7 linked regions of the Macaca mulatta genome follow. The protein of the gene in region 1 purifies or fractionates together with the protein of each later gene. This does not show direct contact. Links are inferred from orthologs where the notes say so. Each region holds a gene or a part of one and is shown in the gene's direction. Other genes may lie near its edges.

What was found.
Region 2: the proteins of TNFRSF1A (region 1) and MAP3K7 purify together in Homo sapiens (affinity purification with western blotting; 7 studies listed by BioGRID, with this or other methods). This does not show direct contact. The link is inferred for Macaca mulatta from reciprocal best matches to the Homo sapiens genes TNFRSF1A and MAP3K7.
Region 3: the proteins of TNFRSF1A (region 1) and BIRC2 purify together in Homo sapiens (affinity purification with western blotting; 9 studies listed by BioGRID and IntAct, with this or other methods). This does not show direct contact. The link is inferred for Macaca mulatta from reciprocal best matches to the Homo sapiens genes TNFRSF1A and BIRC2.
Region 4: the proteins of TNFRSF1A (region 1) and NSMAF purify together in Homo sapiens (affinity purification with western blotting; 3 studies listed by BioGRID and IntAct, with this or other methods). This does not show direct contact. The link is inferred for Macaca mulatta from reciprocal best matches to the Homo sapiens genes TNFRSF1A and NSMAF.
Region 5: the proteins of TNFRSF1A (region 1) and BIRC3 purify together in Homo sapiens (affinity purification with western blotting; 4 studies listed by BioGRID, with this or other methods). This does not show direct contact. The link is inferred for Macaca mulatta from reciprocal best matches to the Homo sapiens genes TNFRSF1A and BIRC3.
Region 6: the proteins of TNFRSF1A (region 1) and CHUK purify together in Homo sapiens (affinity purification with western blotting; 3 studies listed by BioGRID, with this or other methods). This does not show direct contact. The link is inferred for Macaca mulatta from reciprocal best matches to the Homo sapiens genes TNFRSF1A and CHUK.
Region 7: the proteins of TNFRSF1A (region 1) and CYLD purify together in Homo sapiens (affinity purification with western blotting; 4 studies listed by BioGRID, with this or other methods). This does not show direct contact. The link is inferred for Macaca mulatta from reciprocal best matches to the Homo sapiens genes TNFRSF1A and CYLD.

What each region holds. Positions count from the first base shown.
Region 1 is NC_133416.1:7,265,028-7,267,391, reverse strand, and holds part of TNFRSF1A (tumor necrosis factor receptor superfamily member 1A), read left to right. Parts: intron 1-681; exon of another isoform or gene 682-696; coding exon of another isoform or gene 697-788; intron 789-2,041; coding exon 2,042-2,115; intron 2,116-2,244; coding exon 2,245-2,358; intron 2,359-2,364.
Region 2 is NC_133409.1:95,420,016-95,423,515, forward strand, and holds part of MAP3K7 (mitogen-activated protein kinase kinase kinase 7), read left to right. Parts: intron 1-1,055; coding exon 1,056-1,186; intron 1,187-1,841; coding exon 1,842-1,971; intron 1,972-3,500. UniProt on the Homo sapiens protein: Serine/threonine kinase which acts as an essential component of the MAP kinase signal transduction pathway. Plays an important role in the cascades of cellular responses evoked by changes in the environment.
Region 3 is NC_133419.1:103,217,272-103,221,425, forward strand, and holds the start of BIRC2 (baculoviral IAP repeat-containing protein 2), read left to right. Parts: upstream 1-1,354; 5' UTR 1,355-1,500; intron 1,501-1,517; exon of another isoform or gene 1,518-1,959; intron 1,960-2,726; 5' UTR 2,727-3,984; coding exon 3,985-4,154. UniProt on the Homo sapiens protein: Multi-functional protein which regulates not only caspases and apoptosis, but also modulates inflammatory signaling and immunity, mitogenic kinase signaling, and cell proliferation, as well as cell invasion and metastasis.
Region 4 is NC_133413.1:69,275,871-69,279,370, reverse strand, and holds part of NSMAF (protein FAN), read left to right. Parts: coding exon 1-58; intron 59-1,464; coding exon 1,465-1,573; intron 1,574-2,853; coding exon 2,854-2,912; intron 2,913-3,500. UniProt on the Homo sapiens protein: Couples the p55 TNF-receptor (TNF-R55 / TNFR1) to neutral sphingomyelinase (N-SMASE). Specifically binds to the N-smase activation domain of TNF-R55. May regulate ceramide production by N-SMASE.
Region 5 is NC_133419.1:103,187,969-103,192,143, forward strand, and holds the start of BIRC3 (baculoviral IAP repeat-containing protein 3), read left to right. Parts: upstream 1-1,375; 5' UTR 1,376-1,490; intron 1,491-4,175. UniProt on the Homo sapiens protein: Multi-functional protein which regulates not only caspases and apoptosis, but also modulates inflammatory signaling and immunity, mitogenic kinase signaling and cell proliferation, as well as cell invasion and metastasis.
Region 6 is NC_133414.1:112,252,715-112,256,214, reverse strand, and holds part of CHUK (inhibitor of nuclear factor kappa-B kinase subunit alpha), read left to right. Parts: intron 1-1,930; coding exon 1,931-2,054; intron 2,055-2,473; coding exon 2,474-2,625; intron 2,626-3,500.
Region 7 is NC_133425.1:46,193,926-46,198,127, forward strand, and holds the start of CYLD (ubiquitin carboxyl-terminal hydrolase CYLD), read left to right. Parts: upstream 1-1,402; 5' UTR 1,403-1,441; exon of another isoform or gene 1,442-1,533; intron 1,534-1,964; exon of another isoform or gene 1,965-2,080; 5' UTR 2,081-2,141; exon of another isoform or gene 2,142-2,510; intron 2,511-4,202. UniProt on the Homo sapiens protein: Deubiquitinase that specifically cleaves 'Lys-63'- and linear 'Met-1'-linked polyubiquitin chains and is involved in NF-kappa-B activation and TNF-alpha-induced necroptosis.

The sequences.
Region 1 (2,364 bases):
ATTCTTGATTGCATCTTAGGTTTGATGAAATATGGTATTTCCCTCTTAGTCTCTGTGTCCAGGCCTCCTCACTCCTGGCTCCACAGTGGCTGTTCTTGTCACTCACTTGCAAAGAATAAACTCTGAGGGCTCTCAGAGTTTGAACCCCAGCATAGCCACTTATTGGCTATGTGACCTTGGGCAAGCTTCTTAACATCTCTGAGCCGGACTTTTATTTATTTATTTATTTATTTTTGAGACAGGGTTTCATTCTGTCACCCAGGCTGGAGTGCAGTGGCACAACCATGGCTCAGCCTCCACCTCCACGGCTCAAGCCATCCTCTTGCCTTAGCCTCCTGAGTAGCTGGGACTACAGGCACACACCACTACAGCCAGCTAATTTTTTACTTTTTGTAGAGACAGGGTCCTATGATGTTGCCCAGGCTAGCCTCGGACTCCTGGGCTCGAGCAATCCTCCGCCTCGGCCTCCCAAAGTGCGAGGATTACAGGCATGAGCCACCAAGCCTGGCCTGGGCCTTGCCGTTCTTATATTTAAAGAAAGCATAATGACATTCATTTGGTGAATTTATGAGAACCAAAAACAAACAAACAAAACCTGCAACACATCTGACACAAAGCTATTTATTTTCCATTAATCTTCATCTTTTTTTTTTTTTTTTTTTTGAGACAGAGTCCTGCTCTGTTGCCCAGGCTGGAATGCAGTGGCGCAACCTTGGCTCACTGCAACCTCTGCCTCTCAGGTTCAAGCGACTCTCCTGCCTCAGCCTCCCGAGTAGCTGGGATTACAGGCACGTGCCACCATGCCTGGCTAATTTTTGTATTTTTAGTACAGATGGGGTTTTACCAGTTTGGTCAGGCTGGTCTCAAACTCCTGGTTATCCACCCGCTTCAGCCTCCCAGAGTGCGCCACCGCACCTGGCTTGTCTCTTCCTGAAAGCACTTTTTTTTTTATTTTTGAGATGGAGTCTCACTCTAATGCCCAGGCTGGAGTGCAATGGCGCGATCTCGGCTCACTGCAAGCTCCACCTCCTGGGTTTACACCATTCTCCTGCCTCAGCCTCCCGAGAAGCTGGGACTACAGGCGCCTGCCAACATGCCTGGCTAATTTTTTTTGTATTTTTAGTAGAGATGGGATTTCACTGTGTTAGCCAGGATGGTCTCAATCTCCTGATGGTCTCGATCTCCTGACTTTGACCCGCCTCGGCCTCCCAAAGTGCTGGGATTATAGCCGTGAGCCACCACACCTGGCTCCGTTTCTTCTTGAAAGCACTTTTATACTATTCTATGTGGTTCTCACCATGAGCTTGAGAGGTGGGCTACAGTGCCTCTCCCTGCTTTCAGCTTCCTGCTGGGAACTCACTCTCTCAAGTTCCTTCCAGCACCACCCCTTAGAGTTCTCATCACTCCACACTGTCCAGTGACAACTCCCAATGTGGAAGTTCTGCTAGTTCTACAGCGTGCTCTCTGGCTGCCCCAGTAACATGTATTTTTAAATTTTTCATATGCATGTTTGACTCCCCCTCCCCGAAGTCAGGGATTGTAACTAGCAGTGTCATTTAAGAAAAAGCCCTTAAACCTCTCTTTGCGAAAGGATTCTTATCAGCAAAACAGTGATGAAACAGCAATCCCATAACAGCGAGCTAGTTACCTTCTCAAGCACTTATTAAATGAGGCATAATCATTTTGCTTAATCCTCAATCCTGAGAGGTGGGTGATCCCTGTGATGATGAGGAAACCGAGGCTTGGGGGTTAATGGCTTGCCTAGATTCACACTGCTAGCCAAGGAATGGACTGGAATTCATGTGATGACCCTGACTGCTTTTCACATTTTCTCCACAGCCTTTTCAAGATCCCTGCCAATTCTAAAATTAAATGATCCTATGATTAACTGTGTTTCATTCTTCTGCATCAGTTCCCAAAACACATTATATCAAGAGACAGCAAAAATATTTGTAAAGGATGTCCAACAATCTGTGTTGCTGTTTTTCTGCGTTCCTCCAATGGTAGGGCCTCTATTCACCAGTACCGTCTCTTCTTTTAGCTGTAAGAAAACCCTGGAGTGCACCAAGTTGTGCCTACCCCAGACTGAGAATGTTAAGGGCACTGAGGACTCAGGTGAGGAGAAGTGACCGTGCTCACCTGCCCTCTCCCCCTCCTTGCCCCGACCCATCCATCCCACCCATCCGTCTATCCCTGTGGCCCCCCTCTGCCCCCTCCTCTGACCAACACCTGCTTTGTCTCCAGGCACCACAGTGCTGTTGCCCCTGGTCATCTTCTTTGGTCTTTGCCTTTTATCCCTCCTCTTCATTGGTTTAATGTATCGCTACCAACGGTGGAAGTCCAAGCTCTACGCCATTGGTGAGT
Region 2 (3,500 bases), on another chromosome or scaffold:
GAAGACAGCTTCCACAACATCTGTGCCCATCTACTCTGCCTTCTTCTGTTACTCTGGCTGAACTATCCATACTTCTGGCCAAAGGTGTACCTTTCTGCCTGTGCATTATATCCCATCTGCATTATATCCCATCTACTTTTCTGAGCAATTCTCCTCTCTCTCTTGCATCATCAGCTTTAACTTTCTACTGGATCATTCCTAGAACATACGTAGTCTGTATTTGCATTCTCTAGCTTCTCTTTTCCCCTTCTTTCTTGAGCCGACTCCATTCAGACATATTATGCCAGTACTTCAGAATTGTTCTTGTCAAGGTCACTAGTTATCTCTACATCACTACATTTAAGGAATCATTTTCATTTCTCATCTTGACTCTCAGTAGCACTTGATCTAATTCATTACTTTCTCCTTCTTACACACAGCACTTTATTCAGTTGGCCTCTGAGATACCATACTAGCCTAGATTCCATCTTACATCTCTGGCCATCTGTTCTCAGTTTTCTTTGCTGGTTATTCCTCATCTCCCCAACCTAGAAATGTTGAAGTGCCTAGGGCCCAGTCATTTGGCTTCTTCACTTATCTGTCTGCACTCATTTCCTTGGTAACCTCATCCAGTATTGTGGCATTATATACCATCTGCTGGCTCATAATTTTTTCCATCTTATACCTGAACTCTATACTCATATATCCAACTACTTTCTATACATCTACTAGAAACTCAATATTTTCCAAACAGAGTTCCTGATACTTCCTTCAAACTCAATCTTCCTGTAGTCTTTCCCCATCTCAATTAATAGCCCTCAGTTCTTCTACTAGCTCAGGTTAAAAACCTTAAGTTATTCTTGACTATTAGAAGACTATTTAGGCATCTTGGTTCCTTTTTGTGCTAGCCTTAAGTTTTGCTTAAAATGGGTTTGTTTGGATATCTTCATTAGCTTGAAAAGTCTTATTTCTGTTCCTGCCTGGCTAGTTTATAAAAGAATGTAAGTTACATAATACTAAGTGAAGCATTTTTATTATTTCCAACCAGTAGTCATAAATGTTTCTGCTTTTCCTAGGCTCATTCATGGACATTGCTTCTACAAATACGAGTAATAAAAGTGACACTAATATGGAGCAAGTTCCTGCTACAAATGATACTATTAAGCGCTTAGAGTCAAAATTGTTGAAAAATCAGGCAAAGCAACAGGTTTGTTTTGTTATTACAAGTAAAATTGGTAACCTTAACAGTAGTCACAATATTATACTAAATGAAATTAATTATTTACCATCTTCTATTTTATAAATCCTGAATTTTCTTCCTGAAACATATAGAAGAGCTTACAAATAGAGACTTGTAATGAGAGTCTCCTACCATTTATTACCAAATGGTTTTTCCTTCTAATGATTGCTACCTTTGCCAACTCTAACTCCCTATCTATAATAATCCTTAAATGTAATGGTTGATGGTTAAAAATGTAAAACGGATATATTTTGGCTGTGCTGCCCAGTTAGAGGAGTTGTCCTAAGTGTATCATTTCATGCTATTCAGATTTATATTTTTGCCGTTGTTGATTTTTAAAAATATTGTAAGGAGTGAGTTTATTCATTTTGCCTGAGGCATTTAGGTTAATGAATAATTGGGGCTTTTAGCCCCAGTTCTAGTGACTACTCTTTCATAAAAACAGTATCTGCAGCTTGCTTTCCCTTACTGCTGTAGCTCCCTCTCGTGCAAACTTCCCTCTCCTTTCAGAGCAGAACAGGATCCATCAGAATCCTACTTGCCATCTTCCTCCTTTTAGGTTGCCTAAGACTGCTAAATCTAAAGAACTTCAGTAATTCAGATTGACCTGTAATTTTAACAGAGTGAATCTGGACGTTTAAGCTTGGGAGCCTCCCGTGGGAGCAGTGTGGAGAGCTTGCCCCCAACCTCTGAGGGAAAGAGGATGAGTGCTGACATGTCTGAAATAGAAGCTAGGATCGCTGCAACCACAGGTAAAAAGGAACTACAAGTCTGAAGAGTGAAATGTATATAAGCCTTTTTGGCCATGGTAGTTTCAGTTGTCAGAGGTTTTGTGTGTGTGTCTTTTTTTTTTTTTTTTTAAATAGGAAGTAGGTTTACAATATATTTTTCTAAGTTACTAGCAATAATTTTGCATTTATCTCAAATTCCAAATAAGGAAGGTATGACTTGTAAAATTATTTGGATGAGAAAGTATGCCTTCCTCATTTACAGATTTTATCAAATGTAATTCTTTCTGCTCAAACATGAGTTGAAAGTCTGAGTGAGAAATTCTGCCAAAACCGGAATATTTTGGGGATTTTGAGTGATACTACTAGATTTTTGTGCTGAACTCTAATAATAGCAAATATTTTGTTTCAAATTTAACAGAAAAATGTATTCCAGATCCACGTATGATTTGACCTTCTATCTGCTCCTTCATTCCAGTGACAAAATATTAGCTAAGCTGGTTATGGTTAATTTTTTTAATTGTAAAGTAAAAGATCATAATTTTATTGGATCTTGGAAAAGCTAGCATTTAAATTCCATTGTTCAGTTCTTAAAATTATTAATCATGGAAGAACTGGTCAGCACAAAAACAATTACATGTTTTGTTACCTAAGTAAACTGGCAACCTAATTTTCTGACCAGGTTTCATTTTAGTAATGCTGGTTTAGTTTGGACTTCGTTGTTTTTTGCTGATTCCTTCCAGGGATTGGGGGGAGCTGATTTTAAAAGTAAACACATTTCTGTTGTGGAAAATGTGGAAATGTAAACAAGCCAAAAAAACTTACATAATTACCCCACTCAGAGATAAACACTTAACATTTTTGTGTATTTACCCCAGTCTTTTAACTATATATATACGTATAAATGTGTATTTCTATGTGTATTTGCATCTTTTTTAACTTAGCTAACCAATTTTTTAGGTATTTTTTTCACTTATTTGGTTTTTTTCTAAATAGAATATTCTTATTGTGTGTGGAGCTCTTTCAGAAAGAAGTTGTCAAGATGGACCATCATACTATACTTGTCTTCAACTAATCATGATCATTGATTTTTATCAGCTAGTATTAGAATCCATTAGATATAACAGATTTCCAAAATAACAGTGTCTATAACACATAAGCATTATTTTTCAGACATAAACAAGTCTGAAGGTAGTGGGCTCTGTGATCTTGAAGTAACTGGTCTCCTATTTCTGTGCCGTAATCCCTATTGTATAGCTTCCATTCTCAAAGTTATCCTGTGCTCCAAAATGGTTGTTAAAGTTCCCTTTCATCACTTCTACATTCCAGGCAGCAGGAAGGAAGACATGGGGGTAGGGCAAATAGGCATCCAAGTTCTTTGAAGGAACATTCCCAGATGCCTTTCCTAACAATGTCCACACGTCATTGGTCAGAGTAACATGGTCGAATGGCTACACGTAGCTCCAAGGGAAGAGGAGATCTGCCCTCTTTTATCTGATGACTTTTCTGTCCTAAATAAAATCAGAGTACTATTGCTAAAACAGAAGGGAAGA
Region 3 (4,154 bases), on another chromosome or scaffold:
CCCCACGTGCATTTTTGGAAGTTTTTAGTCATTGGGAGCCATGGCATTTCTTTTCTCTGTATTACAAACTGTTACACTCACTTTCTTTGACTATTAACATTGGAACAGTAGACCTCCTGTTCTGTGACTGACTGGCAGGCAGAAATGACACGGACAGGAAATGGGAAATGGTTCAGGGTCTTGGAATTCCCCCGGCTGCCTAATTAAGTGGTTCGCTATTTGGAAGTTTTTAAAATATTTGCCCCTTGGAGTTCCCCAGAGAGAAGCAAGCATTGGATTCAATGGGCAAAGAGCGTCAACTTCAAAAGTCATTCGTTGGCTGTCATAGCACAAACATTTACTGCATGCCACTGTGTCTATGGCACTACTGGGGGAGTATGGCGGAGGGATACAAAAGGTCCATCACTAGTAAAAGCCAAGGGTGTTTGTTTACAAATTTTCTATTACCTAAGCATTAAAAAAAAAAACAACCTTGGGCTTCTCTGTGGTTTATGTACAATTATATGTGCATGTACACCAATACACAGGCGGACGTATATATTTCATTTTATTGAAACATTCAGAAAATACTGGGAGTGAAGCCTGACTTGCAATACCGTTCCCGTTGCTGGCAATGAGCATCTGAAATAATGACACTTTTGTCTTTAGTGCATATGCACTGTTTGTCTCCAGAACAGAAAACCAAAAGTTTAAAAACAAGATAACCTAGTTGATTGTAAAACTCATCGAGTCAAAATTATTCATCAGATGCTTCCTACTTTCCAACGCTTCGCTTTTTTCGATTTGCACAAACAGCTGTTGAACGCTGATGCTACACAAACGGTTACAACTGTTTACTTGAGCAAAAAATGCCATCAGACTGACTCCATCCTCAAAATGCAGTCATCTCGACGGGGGAGGCATCACACTAGGGGAGCCTTGCCAGGGGCCAGATCATAACCCTGAGGTGACACAGGGTAGACGCGCAAAACCACCGGCGCCAGGGCGTTTCCGCAGGGTTTCCCAAGAGTCAAACGCAGCGGCTCACGGTTTGCCACGTCCCCCAGGAGAATGGTAGGCACAGAGAGAGAGGAAACGTGGAGGGGGCACAAACTGCAAGGTGAAGAAAACGAACAAACACCGAGTTGATACGGATAGTCCCCGTTCCCCTAAGGGCCGACCCCGCGACTCCCGATGGGCGTCCAGTTGCGCCGGGGGTCCCTGAGCCTCCCAGCGTCTTTCCCGGCGGTTAGTCGCCCCACGGCCGCAAGTGCGCTCGGTTTCGCTTTCCGGCCCCAGCCTCCCGGGCGCCCTCGCGCGGCTGCCAACGCGAGTCTCCGGCCGGGCGCGCTGACGTCATCGTGCGTCGGCGTGAGCCCGGATGGGGCGGCGGGCTTCGGGAGCGCCGGAGCTGACCCGAGCCGAGGCGGCCGTGTCTCCTTGTCGGTACCGCCGCTTCCCGGCTCTGGGGAGGCCTCTAGGCTGCCGCGCAGCTTCCTTGTTTGCTGCGCCCGCACTGCGGTGAGTGCTGCTCCTTCCGGACTCGGGCGGCGCGGGGAGGGTGGGGACGCGCGGGCCCGCGGGGGCCCACTTCCCTGATGTGGCGGCCGGGCGAGGAAGGAAGGGGCCAGAGGCCCTTCGGCCAAGGGTCGAGGGTCGCCGGGGGCTCTCTGCTTTCTACTCTCGCCAAGGTTTTATTGGATTCGGAAGCCCAAACTTCAAGACTTGCAGTCAAAGCCGTTTTTAAAATATGACTTGTTTTCAAACCTCCTCTGGCCGCCGCCCACTCTTCTGGCCCTTGGACTTTGACCAAGATGTTTTCTCGCAGTTTTTGCAAGGTTTTAAACAGCCCTCGGCGTTCTTTTAATGTAATACATTGAAACGAAGATATTTCGGTGGCGGTGATATTTCATATTTCATAGTTGCCACTGCGCTCTGTCATTCCAGTAGTCTGTTGTGTATTGTGAGAAACAACTCTGGGTAATTATTGGGTAAATCCCATAGTTTCTATTCTTTTCTCTTCCATCCTATCCCCTGTCCAGCTGCAGTTTGCATAAAGAGAATGCTGCAGTACGGTGCTCGCAGATAAAAGTCTTTCGTTTAAAGATAGTATATAAAAAATCGCGTGTAATTAAAGCAATCATGCCAGTGGGCGTCAGGCCACTGTTTCACAGGCCGCTGTGTTAGGTTTTGTTTTCGGTTGTTTTCTACCGTCGTTGCTTTGAAATTGTAAGGGATTGGCAGAGTTTAAGGGTTTATATTAATGAACTCGTGGTACATTTTACTGCAGTTTTCCTAGTCGCGGAGAGACTTGATATTACAAACTAACGTTGCTGTCTGATTACTGCTGTACTGCTGTTGACAGGGTTTAGTGGAGTACCTTGTCGCTCTCTCTGCCTTTTTCACCAATGTTCCTTTGCCTCCAGCAGAGTGCCAAAGATACCTTTAGGTCAGAAAAGGGGAGGAGAGCAAGGACAAAATGTTTTCCTGTGTGAAAATTTCCATCTGTCTCTAAAGTTGTGCTTTTTAAAGACACGTATAGTTAGTGCTATGGGAGTATGTTGCATTTATTTATTTTAATTAAGAGCTTTTTCAGTTAGAAAGTTGTGACAAATTGCTGGAAATTAAGATGTGTTATCTAAAATGTAAATTATTCTTAGACTTTAGTGAATAAATTGAAGAGTATGTAAGTTCTATTTGGCATGCAAATACGGTTTTCTAAAATACCTTTTGTTTTTTCTTTTCAGATTTACAGCCCTGAAGAATCCTCCTCTCCCTTTCCCCTTGCAGTAATAAATCCCATTTTGGAGATCTCGAAGCTTTATAAAGGGATATAGTTTGAATTCTATGGAGTGTAATTTTGTGTATGAATTATATTTTTAAAACATTGAAGAGTTTTCAGAAAGAAGGCTAGTAGAGTTGATTACTGATACGTTATGCTAAGCAGTACTTTTTTGGTAATACAGTATTTTGTTAGGCGTTTCTGATAACACTAGAAAGGACAAGTTGTGTCTTGTGACAAATTGATTAATGTTTACAGCATGACTGATAATTATAGCTGAATAGTCCTTAAATGATGAACAGGTTATTTAGTTTTTAAATGCAGTGTGAAAAGTGTGCTGTGGAAATTTTATGGCTAACTAATTAAGTTTATGGAGAAAATACCTTCAGTTGATCAAGAATAATAAAGTGGTATACAAAGTTAGGAAGAAAGTCAACATGCTGCAGGAAATAGAAACAAATACAAATGATATTTAACAAAGATAGAAGAGTTTATAGTTTGTGAACTTTAAGCCAAATTCATTTGACATCAAACACTATAACAGGCACAGGTTCAACAAAGCTTGTGGGTGTTGACTTCCCCAAAAGTTGTCAGCTGAAGTAATATAGCCCGCTTATGTAAATACTATGGTGATAAGCTGTGTGAACTTAGCCTTTAAATAGTGTGACCATATGAAGATTTTAATTACTTTTGTTTATTGGAATAAAATGAGATTTTTTGGGGACATTATATTAAAGTGCTTATAGGGAAAGAAGCCTGCATGTAATTTTTTACCTTGTGGCATAATCAGTAATTGATCTGTTACCCAGGCTTCATAGCTTGTAACCAAATATAAATAAAAGGAGTAATTTAGGTATTCTGTAGTTGCTTAGAATTTTGAGAATATAAATCTCTGTGAAAAATCAAGGAGTTTCAACATTTTCAAAAGGGCATCCACCTCTCAGGGCTTTAGGTTAGTATTACTCAAGATTATGAACAAATAGCACTTAGATTACTTAAAAGAGTTACTACAACCCCAAAGACTTGTGTTCCAAGTAGTATCTTGGTAATTCAGAGAGAGACTCATCCTACCTGAATATAAACTGAGATAAATCCAGTAAAGAAAGTGTAGTGAATTCTACGTAAGAGTCTATCATTGATTTCTTTTTGTGGTAAAAATCTTATTTTGTGTGAAGAAATTTCATGTGACTGTTTTAGCTATCAAACAGTACTGTCACCTACTCATGCACAAAACTGCCTCCCAAAGACTTTTCCCAGGTCCCTCGTATCAAAACATTAAGAGTATAATGGAAGATAGCACGATCTTGTCAGATTGGACAAACAGCAACAAACAAAAAATGAAGTATGACTTTTCCTGTGAACTCTACAGAATGTCTACATATTCAACTTTCCC
Region 4 (3,500 bases), on another chromosome or scaffold:
AAGTTTAAAAGTTTGTCCCAGACCTCCAGTTATAATGCTTCTATGGCAGATTCCCCAGGTAAATTTTGTAAAGAGAATAAACGTGAGCACCTTTTGTTGCTCTTCTGTGAGGATGATGTTTCTGAAGAGGAGACAAGACATATACTGTTGTGCTACTTAGAGATGATTGTGTTCTCCTGCCTTACTGCAGTTCTCCTGAAAACAAATAACCTGTTTTTGCTGATGATGTTTGTTTTCAGCTATAGACTGTAAGGGAAATCAAATCGCTTTTATTTTCTGGCAATTGAATATGAGTGAAACTTGGCCGTGTATGTTTTGATGTGGTTCTCTTTCTCTTCTGTGGTTTTGAAGCTGGTGTTTGATCCTTAACTATTCACCTTTTCATTCTTACAGTCCTGGCTGTCCAGTCTGCCTTCCCAGTCACTGTCAGCCCTGCTGTCTTCCAGAAAAGACTTTCTCTGGCCCTAATTATGCTCTTCTACACCCACATACAGATCTTGAATTCAAAGTGTTGTCTCTTCTTCATTGGATTTCACTTATTTAACACTGACAAACCTTTACAATGTGTCTGTTCTGTAATGGGCATGTGCTAGGCACTAAATTGAACTTGACCCAGTTCTCACATCTAATATTTGGAAAGGTAGGAAAGAATGCTCACCTTTCTCCAGTTACCCAGGTTTTAGATTTTACATAAGACAACTTCAGACCTACAGGCTTCCAGAAGCAGGTTGACACTGTGGAACCTTGGGAGCAAAATCACTTTTTATCTCCAATCCTCCTGTCTGTTCCAAGCACATCCAGACATTTTAGGCATACATAGCTGAGCATTCTCTCAAGCATGGAGAAATAGCTTCCTGGAGTTACATGATCCAGGGGTAGCTTCTTTAAGAGAGAATACTCTAGAGGGTTAAATAATAAAGATCACAGGATTATCTTGTGATGCTGTTTCAAACTGCGCTCTGCTTAGTCACCAGGCCATAACCACTGTCATGTGATAGTTTTAAGAGGGTAATTGTTTCAGCCCTTCTTAAAGCAGAAGTAAAAGGATTACTCCTGCCAGAAGCTCTTGCAGTAATTGATTTCATCTCTGCTTTCCCCACCCCAAACCAAAACAAAACTGTAGCATTCTTAGGCAACTGTCAGGTTTTTGAAAGAATGTTGACAAGGAAATGATGACTCAGTCTTGTATTTCCCCAAATTCATAAGTTAGAGGCCAAGTGAAAGCTTTGCAAACATTGATAAAAGTATAAAAAGACTCTAGTGTTATTCAAGGATACTTTTTATCGTTCTTTATACAGTTTTTTCCCTTGACTAACATGGAACCATCTAACAGGTACATTTCAAAGCAGTCATATTGGGACAGGGTGTTTCGTTTCTTAGTTGTTTGATTTTAATAGAAAATGTTGTGAATCTGATGCTGTTGTCTGTTGGTAACTTGGTTGACTTAGCGAAAATGTAATGTAGTCTCTCCAGGTGAAGAGTCTTTTGAAGACCTGACCGAAGAAAGCAAAACGCTGGCCTGGAATAACATCACCAAACTGCAGTTACACGAGCACTATAAAATCCACAAAGAGTAAGAATATCTCTGCTTCTTCTCAGCAGCTGATGGTCCTGGCGAAAGTTAGGGTCTTGGCATGGGCTTAAACTGTTTTAAGCTGAGTCAGAGGGAACATTCCCTTTCAATGTTGTCTTGATTTTGAAAAATCTCCCCCAAATGTCTATAGCGATCTCCACCTGAGGTGGATGTAGTAGGAAAGTTTGGCACGAAATGATTTGTGGTGGCTACCATGCTGTCATTTCTGCAGTCTGTCACTTCACAGTACATCTGCAGAGAGCAGCCAGTTTTGTGCCTCTCAAATTGGGGTACACAGCTCCTTGCATCTGTGATGGGAGAAGTGTGATATATACCCCACAAGTGTTGAATTTACACATAATGTAGGCGAAAAGCCTCCTTTTAAAAATAATTAGCTCTCTCAGAGAGAGAACATTGCAAAGTTCACACGAATTTTAAAAACAATAATTATAACAATAATTATACTTCTAAGAAATTGGGCTTGCTGTTGGACCCAGAGATGACATGTGTGTTCTCTGCCCTCTGTCATTAAGACCTTCATGTTCTCTGGTAGAAAGGCTTGAGAACCACTGACCTAGCCTGTTCATCCTGCTACAGAGAGGAAACCCAGGTCCAGAGACTAGGCCCTACCTTGCTGCATGACCGTAGACAGCCCCTCCGGTATATTGGTCACGGGTGGAGCTGGGTATGCTGCTCTGCATTAGATGGATGGCTTCATGTCACAATCCAGCCTCCCGAAGAGAAACAAGGAGTTTTGGCTGATTCATGATGACAATGGCTGTCTTTTCTCAACTTCTCTAAATGGCACATAGGAAGGGACCTTGTAATCCAAGATAGTGAAGACTGAATGATCCTTTAAGAGGACAGGCTGGAACCAATTTTCTTATCATTGAATAGTCACTGAGTAAATTAGCTTCAGTAATGAGCAAATGAAGTGACTATGAAGAAGAATTTGTCCCTTTGGTGATGGTCAAACGAGAGGGAATAGAAGGAGAAGAGTTTTCCAATTGCCAGAAATTGTCAGGAATATGTGAAGCATTGCATGTGGAACACAGGGAGGCAAAGAGTGGGGATGTTTTCTAGTCACAGGTGTTGCCAGAACATGAGAAGTTGCCAAGCGGTGATTTGGTAATGGCAGGCTTATGCTGGGACAGATCTGGCAGGCATACTGTGAAGAAAAACATTAAGGAAACTTGGTATAATTAACTCAAGGACGTGAAACAAAGCGGGTGTCCTAACACATGATGAGTAGTAATTTGTGAAACTTTGTTTTTGAGCAGAGCAGTTACTGGAATCACAGTCTCTCGCAATGGATCTTCAGTGTTCACAACATCCCAAGGTCAGTGTTTCTCCCTGAAAGGCGACTTCACCAGAATCCTAGAATGTCTGAGTTCTTTATTATGTAGCTCGCGGTCAAGGACTGTACTTGCATGTGCTGCCTCCACGTAAACTTAGAGCAGTTCCTTTGTGGTACATTGCATAGAGTTTCATCGTAATTTGCCAAAAATAATAATGAAACATCTTTCTGTTGCTGATGAGGTTTCCCAGAGCTGAGGGTAAAGGACAGAAACAGCCTCCTTTCCACACCCTTGCTGGGTCAGGTCCTTCCCGCCTGCCATAAGAGGGTGCCCTGTCCATTTGTTGGGGTTGGCTGTGAGTCACGAGTGCTGTATCAGAAATCGGCGTGTGCCTGTCAGCACGCGGAGATGCAGATTTGCTGTTACGGTTTTCAGTTCTGTCATTCAGTGTGTATTTCTTCAGAATATTTGATTTAGCTCAAAATCACATTAATATATTATTGAATATGCTTATACATTATGAAAATTATAAAAACCCTTGCAGTGTGTCATTGATATGACTTATTGTAGCTATATAGCAGAAAGCATCCCTTACTATATACACCATTGTTCTCTCCCTGGTAGTCTGC
Region 5 (4,175 bases), on another chromosome or scaffold:
GGTGACAGAGCCAGACTCCGTCTCAAAAAAAAAAAAAAAAGAGTGTTCTATCAATTTTTTCCAAAAATATCTATGTTTACATTTTGTAGATTACTGACATGTACAACAGCTTTATGTTTTAATGTTAAGTTAAAAATGGGCAAGGGAATGCAGAGCTTTTTGAAATTCTTCTGGTGAGTACATAATCAAAAATGTGTAAGGCCCACAAATTATTTTCCATAATCTCAGGAGTGAGTTGAAAATGGCTTAGAAAGTCTTGATTGAAGCAGACTCAAATGTGGATTAAAGTCTCCATATGATAAATACACTTAGTCTTTCTGAAATAATTCCAACTGGAACTTCAGTTGCTATGGACAGCCAAGTCCACCTAAACCAGAAGATGCCTCAGCTCAGTCCATTGTGTGCAGAATGCACTGGATGCTGTTTCCACAGAATGATGAAGGACCAAATAATCTTTATGGGCTCTGCCTCTGGTTGGTAACTGTCTTTGATCTACTGGAAGACAGAAAATCAGATGAGCTCTCCCAAATCCATCTCTTACCCTGGTATGGATGGCTCTCAGATAAAGTTGCTTAAAGTTACTACTTAGAGAACGTTGAGGAAAATATGGCAGTGCAGTTAGACTCGAAGATGTCAGGTTTCCCTGAGAATGGCACTGCAACTCAGACACCTGCCCTGTGAAATCAAAGGCTATAAAGGAGGGATTTTTTTAAGTAGCCAACTCCACCATACTTATTAAAAAAAACAACAACCCAAAACTCACCAAACAAAACAAAAAGTATTTCAATACAGAAAATTAATAAAGCAATTTCAATCTTTAAAATGGTAAAAATAAACTGCAAAGGAGAACTGCATGATTTTTTTCACATACCCCTACATTTCCTTTCACCTCTTACTTTCTTGATCAGAACAAAAAGTAAAAATAAATAGAAAGATTTCACAAAGTTTCGAATTTTTTTTTTTAATGCTGGACTTCTGCAGCTATAGTAGAAGATTGAAAACCCGAACCTTTTTACGTGTAAAGTGTATGGCAGATGGAGGGTGAATAGGGCATATTGACCTTTTCCAGGCAGGCTGAGCAATGACCGTCCTCTCTGTATGGGTTGTTATCAAGATTTCCTCTGGCCCACGAGCAATGAAGCAAATGTCTTTCAGTAAATGCCGCGCAGATAGGCCACGGTTAAAAGTCATGCTTTTGGGTCATGGAAATCCCCGAGCGGGTTTGCCAGGCCACTGATTAAGAGGAAGTGTCTGTGGTTATTACCCCTGGAGTTCCCCTAAGTCCTAAAAGGAAAGCACCAGTGCACATGCAAACCACTGGGAGGAGTGCGGAACGCCTGCTACGGGTAGGGGTGGGGATTTGGGTGACGCATTTAAAGGACAGCGTGAGACTCGCGCCCTCCGCACGGAACAGGCCGGGCGACAGGTGTCGCTTGAAAAGACTGGGCTTGTCCTTGCTGGTGCATGCGTCGTCGGCCTCTAGGCAGCAGGTGGGCGAGGAAGGCTGGGGTGTGCGTGCGTGTGTGTGTGTGTGTGTGTGCGCGCGGGCAGCAGGTGGGCGAGGAAGGCTGCTGTGTGCTTGTGTGTTTGTGTGTGTGCGTGCGCGCGCGCGCCTCCCCTGGGGTAAGAGGTGTGCCAGCGGGTGGCCGAGGGGTGCTCAGGGCTAGAGCGCTGCAGAGGTTGAGAGTCAGTGGGTGGGGCGCAGTTATCAAACGTCAGGGCCCAAAGGCAGGCTCTAGATAGGTTCCAGGTGCTCAATTTCTATTTTACCTTTGGAGTGAGCCAGTGGAATTGTGCAGCTGTGTCATTTTGATTCGGTTGCCAAGAGTTATCACTGGGCCTTTGCAGGTGCCAAATAAATTTCAGGACCGAGCCTAACACAGAGCTCTGGCACAGGAAGGAAGTAAAGTGTTTAATGAGCAAATGGAGGCATGTTTCCAACCTGTGGTAGGAAGACAGCAGTTTTTGGTTGTCTTCCTGGTGATCAGCATGGAAACCCAGAAGTGCTCTTACTCTGATCAATACAGTGTCGAAGGCATGTACCTGATGCTAACGTAACAATAATATTAACTATTGACTTTATTTGCTATTATGTATTGCTAACATTAAGTACTGCTACCTGCTATATGCTAGGTTTCTCTCTGAAGAATTTACATGTATTTTTCACGTTTAATTATCATAATCTTAAGGAGCAGAATTATCTCCATTTGACAGTGAGGAAACTGAGGCTCTTGGAGATTTACTTGTGCAACGTCATGCTTCTGGTTACCGGGCTGCTTGGTACTGAGCACCCCAGATGTCTGACTCCAAAGCCTGATCCTAATCAATCACTGAGTAGACTCTGTGGTCATTAATGTAAAATTGATAGAAGTACTGTGGTCACTCGGGGCTCAGTCACATTTGCTAACATTTATTCCTTCAACGGGAAGTCTTTGTGTCTACCCTGTATGCCAAGCTCTGCAGATGCTATGAGTGGGAGGGCAGGTACAGAGATGAAACATATTAATAGCTGCGGTTCTAAAATACCTTACTGTCTAGGGGGAGGCAGAAAGAAAAGGCACACTTGCCCTCCAGTGTCATAGAAATGGATGTGCCGCGTGCCCAAAGGGTAGGGATGCCCAACAGCCCTGGGATTGGGGAGGTTGCTTTCTTGGTAGGTTAAATGGAAGAGTCAGAAGACGAAAGGTTGGGGACTGAGCCAATCTGAGAAGGAGCCACTAGAAATGAAAGAAGAATCCCAAGAGCTTGGTATCAGAGAAGCCCAGGGAATGGGACATTTCTAAGAGGAAGTGTGCCCCAACGTCAGATGCAAACATTTCCATTTGTTTTGGCAAAAAAACCATTGGTGTTATTAATACTGAGAGCAGTTTTAAGTGATGCTGACTTAATGAGTAAATGGGAGAGGGAAAATGGAGACATTAACCGTACACACATGTCCAGTTTGCTTGGCTATGAAGGGAAGGGGCGATACAGGGTAGTTGCTACAGTGGGAAGTGGGGTTGAAAGGGGATTTTTTTTTTTTTTTTAGACGGAGTCTCACTGTGTCACCCAGGCTGGAGTACAGTGGCGCAGTCTCAGCTCACTGCAACCTCTGCCTCCTGGGTTCAAGCGATTCTCCTTCCTCAGCCTCCCAAGTAGTTGGTAGTAAAGGTGCACGCCACCATGCCTGGCTAATTTTTTGCATTTCTTTTTAGTAGAGATGGGGTTTCACCGTGTTAGCCAGGATGGCCTTGATCTCCTGACCTTGTGATCCACCCGCCTCAGCCTCCTGAAGCGCTGGCATTACAGGCATGAGCCACCGCACCTGGCCGAAAGAGAATTTTAAAAATTTCTTTCATTTGAGAGTTGAGATAGATTTAAGCATGGTTGTTATGTGGAAGGAAAAGGGCCAGTTGAGAGTGAGAGGAATGAGAGTTGACGCAATGAGGGAGATGGGATTAAGAACAAGACTTCTGAGGCAGTAGGAGAGTTTAGGATCCCATAAGGGGGCAAGTCTTTAACTGAGGCAGCAAGTAGGTTGTGAGCCAAAAAGGCTTGGATATGAGAATGTGAGGCGGTTCCTGCTCAATGATATCTCTTTTCTTTGAGAAATAGAAGGCAAAGCAATGGACTGAAAATGAGATGGAGTGCAGTGGAGAAATCTGAGGAAGGTGTTGAAGGTTTAGAAGGGTGCATAGGGCAGTGGGCTAGGGGGCTGAGCAGGGCGAAAAGGAATTGCTAAGGGGTGGCAAAGGAGTCTTAAGTGATGCTGGTCCCAGTCTGCAGGGCTGCATCTAGGTGTTGGAAATTGTTAGGACAGAGGCTGAAGTGATCTGGGGTTGACATCTTGGCATATTTTTGTATATTTATTGTATAGTTGTTGCCTGAATTTCCACAAATATATACCTTGCTGGAGTGCAGTGGCATGATCTTGGCTCACTGCAACCTCCACCTTCTGGGTTCAAGTGATTCTCCTACCTCAGTCTCCTGAGTAGCTGGAACTACAGGTGCGTGCCACCACACCTGACGAATTTTTTTTGTATTTTTAGTAGAGACAGGGTTTCACCATGTTGGCCAGCCTGGTCTCAAACTCCTGATCTCAAGTCATCTGCTTGCCTTGGCCTCCCAAAGTGCTGGGATTACAGGCGTGAGCCACCACGCCTGACCTAAAGCTTCTTTAGGATAAGATTTGTGTA
Region 6 (3,500 bases), on another chromosome or scaffold:
TTCGCTCTTGTCGCCTAGGCTGGAGTACAGTGGTGCAATCTTGGCTCACTGCAACCTCCACCTCCCGGGTACAAGCGATTCTCCTATCTCAGCCTCCCGAGTAGCTGGGATTACAGGCACGCACCACCATGCCCAGCTAATTTTTGTATTTTTAGTAGAGACAGGGTTTTGCTGTGTTGGCCAGGCTGGTTTCGAACTCCTGACCTCAGGTGATCCGCCTGCCTTGGTCTCCCAAAGTGCTGAGATTACAGGCATGAGGCACCGTGCCTGGCCTTTTTTTTTTTTTTTTTTTTTTCATGATTAGACTGGGGCAGTGGGTTTTTGAGAGAAAGGTCACGGAAGTAAGATTGCAGTGAATTGAGTTCATGCCACTACATTCCAGCCAGGGTGACAGAGCGAGACCCTGTCTCAAAAAAAAAAAAAAAAAAAAAAGAGGGAGTTATGTTCCCCTCTTTTAGGATAGAGTATCTACATAATTTATTTGGAATTCTTCTGCATAGGAGATTTGTCCTTGCTCTCCCATTTATTAATTTCAGTCATTTATTTATATTAGTATGGATTAATGGATTTTTAAAAATACTTTATATTATAATCCAATACTAGTTTATTCTGTTGCTCAGATTGTTCCAGCTTTGGCCATTTGGAGCTCTTTCAGTGGGCTCCTGTACCTCTTTTACATGCCCCCATCAATGAGTTGTTTTTGTTTTATTTTGTTTAAAAAGTTTGATTTTTTTTTTTTTTTTTTTTTGGTCTGTTGTAGGAAGCCACAGGTGGAAGTTTGGTTATACAATAGGAGAAAGGTTAATTGAGAATATTAATAATTATTAAGGGAGGCAAATATTTTTCCATTTATATAGCTTAATTTATTTAAAGTCTGCTTCAGATGATGTGTTTTCTCGTAGGAACACTAGTGTAGCAAGTTTTGCCTAACCTTTCTCTGAAGTTTTCATTAGAAAAAAGTAACAGAGAATATACTTGCTGCCTTACAATATGAATCTGTTTCAATGTTGGAGAATTCCATATGTTAAAATAGAATTTCATTGAACTTAACACATGGTTTTAGAAAAGTAGCATTCCCTTTACCAAAGAATGGGTGAGATAAAAATCACAAATAGATAACTTTTTAAAGTCTGGCATTGAAGAAAGCATATTTTATTAAACTGCCATTTACCCTCTGTGTTTTCTTTTTTTTTCTTTTTTTTGAGGTAGAGTCTCACTCTGTCACCCAGGCTGGAGTACAGTGGTGCGATCTTGGCTCACTGTAACATCCACCTCCTGGGTTCAAGTGATTCTTTTGCCTCAGCCTCCTGAGTAGCTGGGACTGTAGATGTGCATCACTACACCCAGCTAATTTTTGTATTTTTAGTAAAGACAGGGTTTCACTATGTTGGCCAGGCTGGTCTTGAACTCCTGACCTCAAGGGATCCGCCCGCCTTGGCCTCCCAAAGTGCTGGGATTACAGGCGTGAGCCATCACACCTGACTCTTGTGTGTATTCTTAATGCTGGATTGTTGGTCCAGGATATGAAATTTATTATTTAGAGGTAGGAAAGACCCAGAGGAGATGGGACTTGATTTAGAACTTGAAAGAAATAATTTGGATTAGCAGAGAGAAAAAGAGTATTCCAGGTTGCAGAAAAGCAAACAAAAAAGACAGATACAGGAATAATCTCAGGCTCTGTGAGTGTAGTGATTATGTCATTCATTTTTTTCCCCCTTGTATCTGGAGCAGGGCTTATGTATTGCAGGTGCTCTGTAAATGTATATTGAACTGAATTAAATGGAAACAAGTGGCTCTTTTAGCATCAGTTTGTAGCATCTATGGGAATCCTGTTTTTGTAGACAGAAAATCACAGAGAACAATAAATCAACTCTAAAATCCTCAAAAGTAACTAACTCCCTTGCCCCTTTTCTCATCTTCTTGTATATAGTACAGGACAGCAAAATACAGCTTCCAATTGTACAGCTGCGTAAAGTGTGGGCTGAAGCAGTGCACTATGTGTCTGGACTAAAAGAAGACTACAGCAGGCTCTTTCAGGGACAAAGGGCAGCAATGTAAGTGGATTCTGTTGTTTATAAGCACAATGCAATGTGCATCATATACTCAAGAATTAATCTTGCTGGTTTTCACTAATCAATATTTCATGTAATAGTAACATACTAGGCCAATTTGAAGTGTAATGTTCTGATTAAACTTGTAGAATTCTCACTAATGGACTGAGACCATTCTATTATAATGACTTGAGGGTAATAATTCCCGTATGGTCCTAGTACAAAAAGATTGTTTATCACAGAATATTATAGGCAGGAAGTCTTTAGAGATCAGATTCTAGAGATCAGTTATTTCTCATAGATTGATAATAGAAACTTAGGCTTTGGCCTTGTGGCAGTTTATGTTTTTAAATTATTGTTCAATGTTTCTGAATGCCGAATGCTGATAATATCTTTTTTCTTTTTTTTTTGCTATGGTTTAGGTTAAGTCTTCTTAGATATAATGCTAACTTAACAAAAATGAAGAACACTTTGATCTCAGCATCACAACAACTGAAAGCTAAATTGGAGTTTTTTCACAAAAGCATTCAGCTTGACTTGGAGAGATACAGCGAGCAGATGACGTATGGGATATGTAAGTGTCTGAGTAATATATTTCAAAGGAATATCTGGTTTCTTGAAGCCATCTGTTGTTTTGCCTTCTTAACTCAGCCAGTTGTTTTACTTACCTTCACATTAGGACAGGAGACAGGACAACTTAGATTACCAGAAACCATGTTTGTTTTGAATGTTACCTCTTTTTAAAAATTTGCTTAGTTGAGCAATTTAGTTTCACAATTGGGCTAAAATTATTTAGCTCCAAAAAAATACAGAAGCAATTTAATAATCTTGAATTTCAAACATAATTTAAAAATAAATACAAAATCTGGACTTCTTAGCCAGTGCTGTGGACTGAATGTTTGTGTCCCCCATGAAATACATATGTTGAAATTCTGACCCTGAAGGTGACGGTGTTGGTAGGTGGAGTCTTTGGGAAGTGACTAGGTCATGAGAGTGGAGCCTTCGTGTTTGGGATTAATGCTCTTACAAAAGAGGCCTGAATGAGATCCCTCACCCCTTCTGCATGTGAGGACAGAGCAAGAAGATAGTCATCAGGAACCAGAAAGCAGGCCCTCACCAGATACCAAATCTGCCTTGTTCTTGGACTTCCCAGCCTTCAGAACTATAAGAAATAAATTTCTATTGTTTTTATGGCACTTAGTCTATGGTATTTTTTTATAGTAGCCCAAATGGACTAAGACAACCAGGGGAGTCTTAAACTACTTACCTTTCTGTAAATAATGACACAAATATTCTAAGGCTATGATTTTTTTCAAACCATCTACCGTGGAGTCCTATTTTTTGCATACACGATCTCCAAATTTTCAATATTTGATTCCAAGCTTATCTCCTTCAGATGCACTAAGGAAATGTAAAAAGACAGAGTTAAAATATGAGTAAATTGAAGGA
Region 7 (4,202 bases), on another chromosome or scaffold:
GTCCTTCCAGCTTTGTTGGAGAATAAAGATGTAGAGGAGAACGGTGTTGCCTAAGGCCACACAAGCCAGGCCTGTTGATTTCCAACTTATGGCTTCCTTTGGCAGTGTGGTCGTGAAGCTTGGAATAGAGGAAGATAGGGGTGACAAAAGAGGGACAGGAGTAGAAAGAGGCTTAGGTTTTCAAAAGATGCTCATTTCATTTTGGATGACTATGGCAGGGAAGAGTGGTGGCCTGTCTACTGCTACTGTTACTCGTCACTCATGTGACTGCTTTTATGTATTCATTGGTTTAAATTCCCTGGATCTCCAGAAACATGTTACTTTCCACTGGGGGAAATTTGTGTCATGGTTAAACACACACATACACACACACACCCCTCCTCCTTTCTCAGTGTTAATCACCTTCTCCTATAATTAGCACTTAAAATGTCAAAGGAGAAGAAATTAATTAACAGGAGTATCCAGTGCAGCAAGGCTCTGGGACCGATTATAAAAAGCACTTCCTTAAATATTTTGAGTACTTTTGGGAATCAGAAGCCTCCCTTCTAATTGAAAGATCCTTAACTACACCCTAAGTCCTGGCTGGTGGCCAGGGGTGCAGGGCTGAGTGAGGCGGCGTGTGGAAATCCCTTCTTCACCATCCTTGGGAAAATTCCCTCCTAACTGGGATAGGTGGCAACAGAGGTTCGGAAACAGCAAGCGTCCCAGGCTGAATCTGCGGGGGAGGAAGAGATGAACCTTTCCTGAGCTGGTACTGCGTGCCAGAAACTTTAACTCAGTATTTTGCCACAATCCTATAAGACAACCGATACTATGATCTCCATTTTACAGATGAGGACATTGAGGCACAGCGTGGTTGTGACTTCCCCGAGTCACGCAGCCACTGAATGAAAGCGCCAAAGATTCAAAGTGAGGTCTGATTCTAAAGCTTTGCTCTCTCACGGCATCCTGGAATCCTATTCCCAACCTTCATCTGGACTCTCAACCCAGCCCAAACCTAAGCGTCTACAGTTTTGACAGCTGAGGTAGGAGCACGGGAGGTGGAGCTGGTGACAGCGCAGCGCCCCGCCCCGCCCCGTCTCCGGCACCAGCCAATGGTGACGCGGCACCCACAGCCTTTCGCCCAATCAGCTTGAGCTTCCCGCCTCCATCCCCCGCTCTTCTCCGCCCCGCCCCTCCGCTTTCCCTTTGGTTCCACCGAGCTTGACAGAGCGGAAAGTCCCTTCGGCCGGCGCCGGGCCGGCAGCCATTGGAGGAAGGTCTGTCACAGGGAGGCCCAATCAGGGCCCGCTCAAGAGAGCAGCTCGGCCTGCGATTGGCCAGCGCGGCGTCTGCCCCCTCCGCCCCCGCTCCCTCCCTCTCCTCTGGGCGGTTCGGAGGCGGGGCAGGTGGGGGCGGGCCCAGGTAGCAGGTTCGGCTGCGCGGGGGCCGCGCGTCGGAGGTAAATACTAGGGCGGTGGGTGTGGGGCGCCGGGGCCGGCCCGGGACGCAGGCTGGGGAGCCGGGGCGAGGGGCGACGCCCCGCCGCCCGAGGTTAGTGAGTGAGCGGGCGGCGGGCGGCGGGCGGCGGGCGGCCGGATCCCCTCGGCGCAGCCACCCGGCCTCAGGGCGTCCGGAGCCGCTGCGGCGACCGTCGGGCCCTCGGCGCCGGCCCGTTAGTTGCCCGGGCCCGAGCCGGCCGGGCCAGTGGGGTGCCGAGCACGCTGACGTCAGCCCGGGCTTCCCCACCCCCGGGGCTTCCCCATCCCCCGAGGCTTCCCGGGAGGGCTCCGAGTCCGGGGAGCGTGCCGGGTCTCCACCGTCGGGACCCTCGGAGGAGAGAGGACTTGGGGCGGGAGTCGCGCGGGACACTGTCCCCCTCCTCGCCCCCCACCCCATTTACAGATGGGGAGACTGAGGCACAGGCCGCTGGCGGGCCCCGACGGCCACCGTTGGCCTCAGGAGCTCGGGGCTGTGATTCCTACCGTCCGCGCCGCGGGGCGTATGCAGCGATCGATTTTGCGGGTGTTGGTGGCTCCCGTCCAGAAATCGCAGTCGGGGTTCTGGCCTCGTTAATGGCGTGTTCTGCTTTTTCTTTCAGTTTCCCCCTTTCCAGGGTGAGGATGGTTCTACACAGCCACCTGGAGTTCCTTAGTTGAAAGGTGCGCCCTGTTGTGACAGGTATTCTTTCTTTATGTTTTTCTTTCATGTTAACAATGGTGGGGGGGGGGGGGTGGCGGAAGGGGGGCGGAAGGGAAGTCATGAAATCTTGAGGAAGATGGTGTTGAGTTTGGTACTCAGCTGGGTCAGCTGCCGGTTATTCATGCACTTGGCATCGTTTCTTTTCCACCCCTTGGCATTTGAATGTTTTAGGATAGTTGTCATCTTCCAGCCACCAAGCCTGTGGCCTTGCAATCTCCCAGCCCCCATCATCCCCGCCACTTTCTTTTCTCCAGTTTTTCCTGGAAAGTTGTATCCTTAGCTCAGCTGAGGAGCATGCCTACCTTGCTTTTGAATATGGTCTAGAGATCTTAATAGGATTGTTCATTTTGCAATCATTGGCTCTCAGAGAAGCACCCAGGCCTTGAGAGGGTGTTCATTTGATTGTTGGCTTTCTACACACCCCCTCATGCCCCAAGTAGATTGAATGGCCTTAAGAATTTAGCCTGCCATTCCCCACTGAGTAGTGGGTGGATTTGAAGTAGAACAGTATTAGGAGAAAATGATTTGCTGGAAATTCTTATTGAAGTTCATGTACTCTGGATGTCGATAACACCCAGAACATTCTCTAATATTCTGCTGCAAAATTGTATAGTATTCTTGCAAATAAACCTTCCTTTGGGTGGTAACTTTTGTGAGAAGCAGATAAGACTTGTTGTATAAAGCAACAACTAACATTAAGCAGCAATAATTTTTGTAGTCTGGCACACCTAAACTGTGGTTTTGTTTGATTTAAGGAAGTCTCCAGCACAAGGAGAGAGAAAGGAATACTTATGTTGTTTATCGAACTATTAGTATTTTGTTCCTGATTTTCACACTATGATCTTAAATTAGTTTTTTTTTTTTTTCCATTGGTTGAACAGAATTTCTAAGTAGATACACGCTAGTGAGGCTCTAGGAAGCTAGTTTCAAATAAACCTCAAAACAACTTGGTTTCGTAATTGTGAAATTTTCTGTATTTGTTTCTTATATGTGTAACAATGAAGTGGTTTAGCATGATTTCATTTTATCCAGAGAATTAGTGAAGTTTTAGGCAAAATTCATTAAATGTTCCCAATTCCTTAGCCTTTTTCTTTTCTCTTTCTCTTGTTTTAATCCCTTAAACAGGAGGAGGAAATGCAATTTTGTTTTCACTGTTGGCACTTGAGTCTTTCATTCATTTCTCCGTATTCAGTGCCTAGCATATGCCAGGCTCTCGTGTGGGCACTGGATAATATAAAAATGAAGGACTTGGGGAATTCACAGTTTGGCAGTGGAGTGGCTAGGTTTAACACTAGAGAGGCAGCAGTATTCCGTGTTCCGGCGGGAATATGCAGATGTGAGAGGCTTTGCTTTTCTTTTAACCTTATAAATCCCACTTATATTAGGGACTGTGTACTTGTGACACAAGTTAGTCATTGAGGAAAATTAAAACGGACTCAGTCTTTTTTTCTGGCCACGGAATCTCTGTATCCCTATTCTTTAGCTGTTTAGAAATATAACAACTTTGTCTTTTAGTGAGAGGTGTTCTTTTTTAAAAGAGTAATCATTCTAGCTATCCAGAAGCTTTTGGGAAAAGGCCCACATGTCTTCTTTCTTTGGTGTCCACGCTGACCTTCCTACCTCTTTGCCATTGGTAATTAGGGGCAGAATTAAGTATTGTAATTTTTATTCTAATTTAGGTAGCTTCCTTTTTAGAACAAGCAGGATATCTCAAGAGATGCAAAAAGCTCTTGAATTGGATCTGTCTTTGTGAGATCCTTATGAACAATATAACCTGATAACTTGAGAATCAGAAAGACACTGTATCTTCTGGATAAGTTAACCATTGTTAGTTTTCTGTTGCTACTGATGTTCATTTGTAGTATATGTTGCCTTTCAGAATGTGGTAATTGTAATCTTTAACATTTTCATGTAAAGCTTATTTCCTGATCATCTTTCCATTGCCTTCATGGAAAATTGATAAATATTTGTGCCTTCCAACCCTCATCTTGGTTTAATGACTTTATCTTAATACAAGTAAG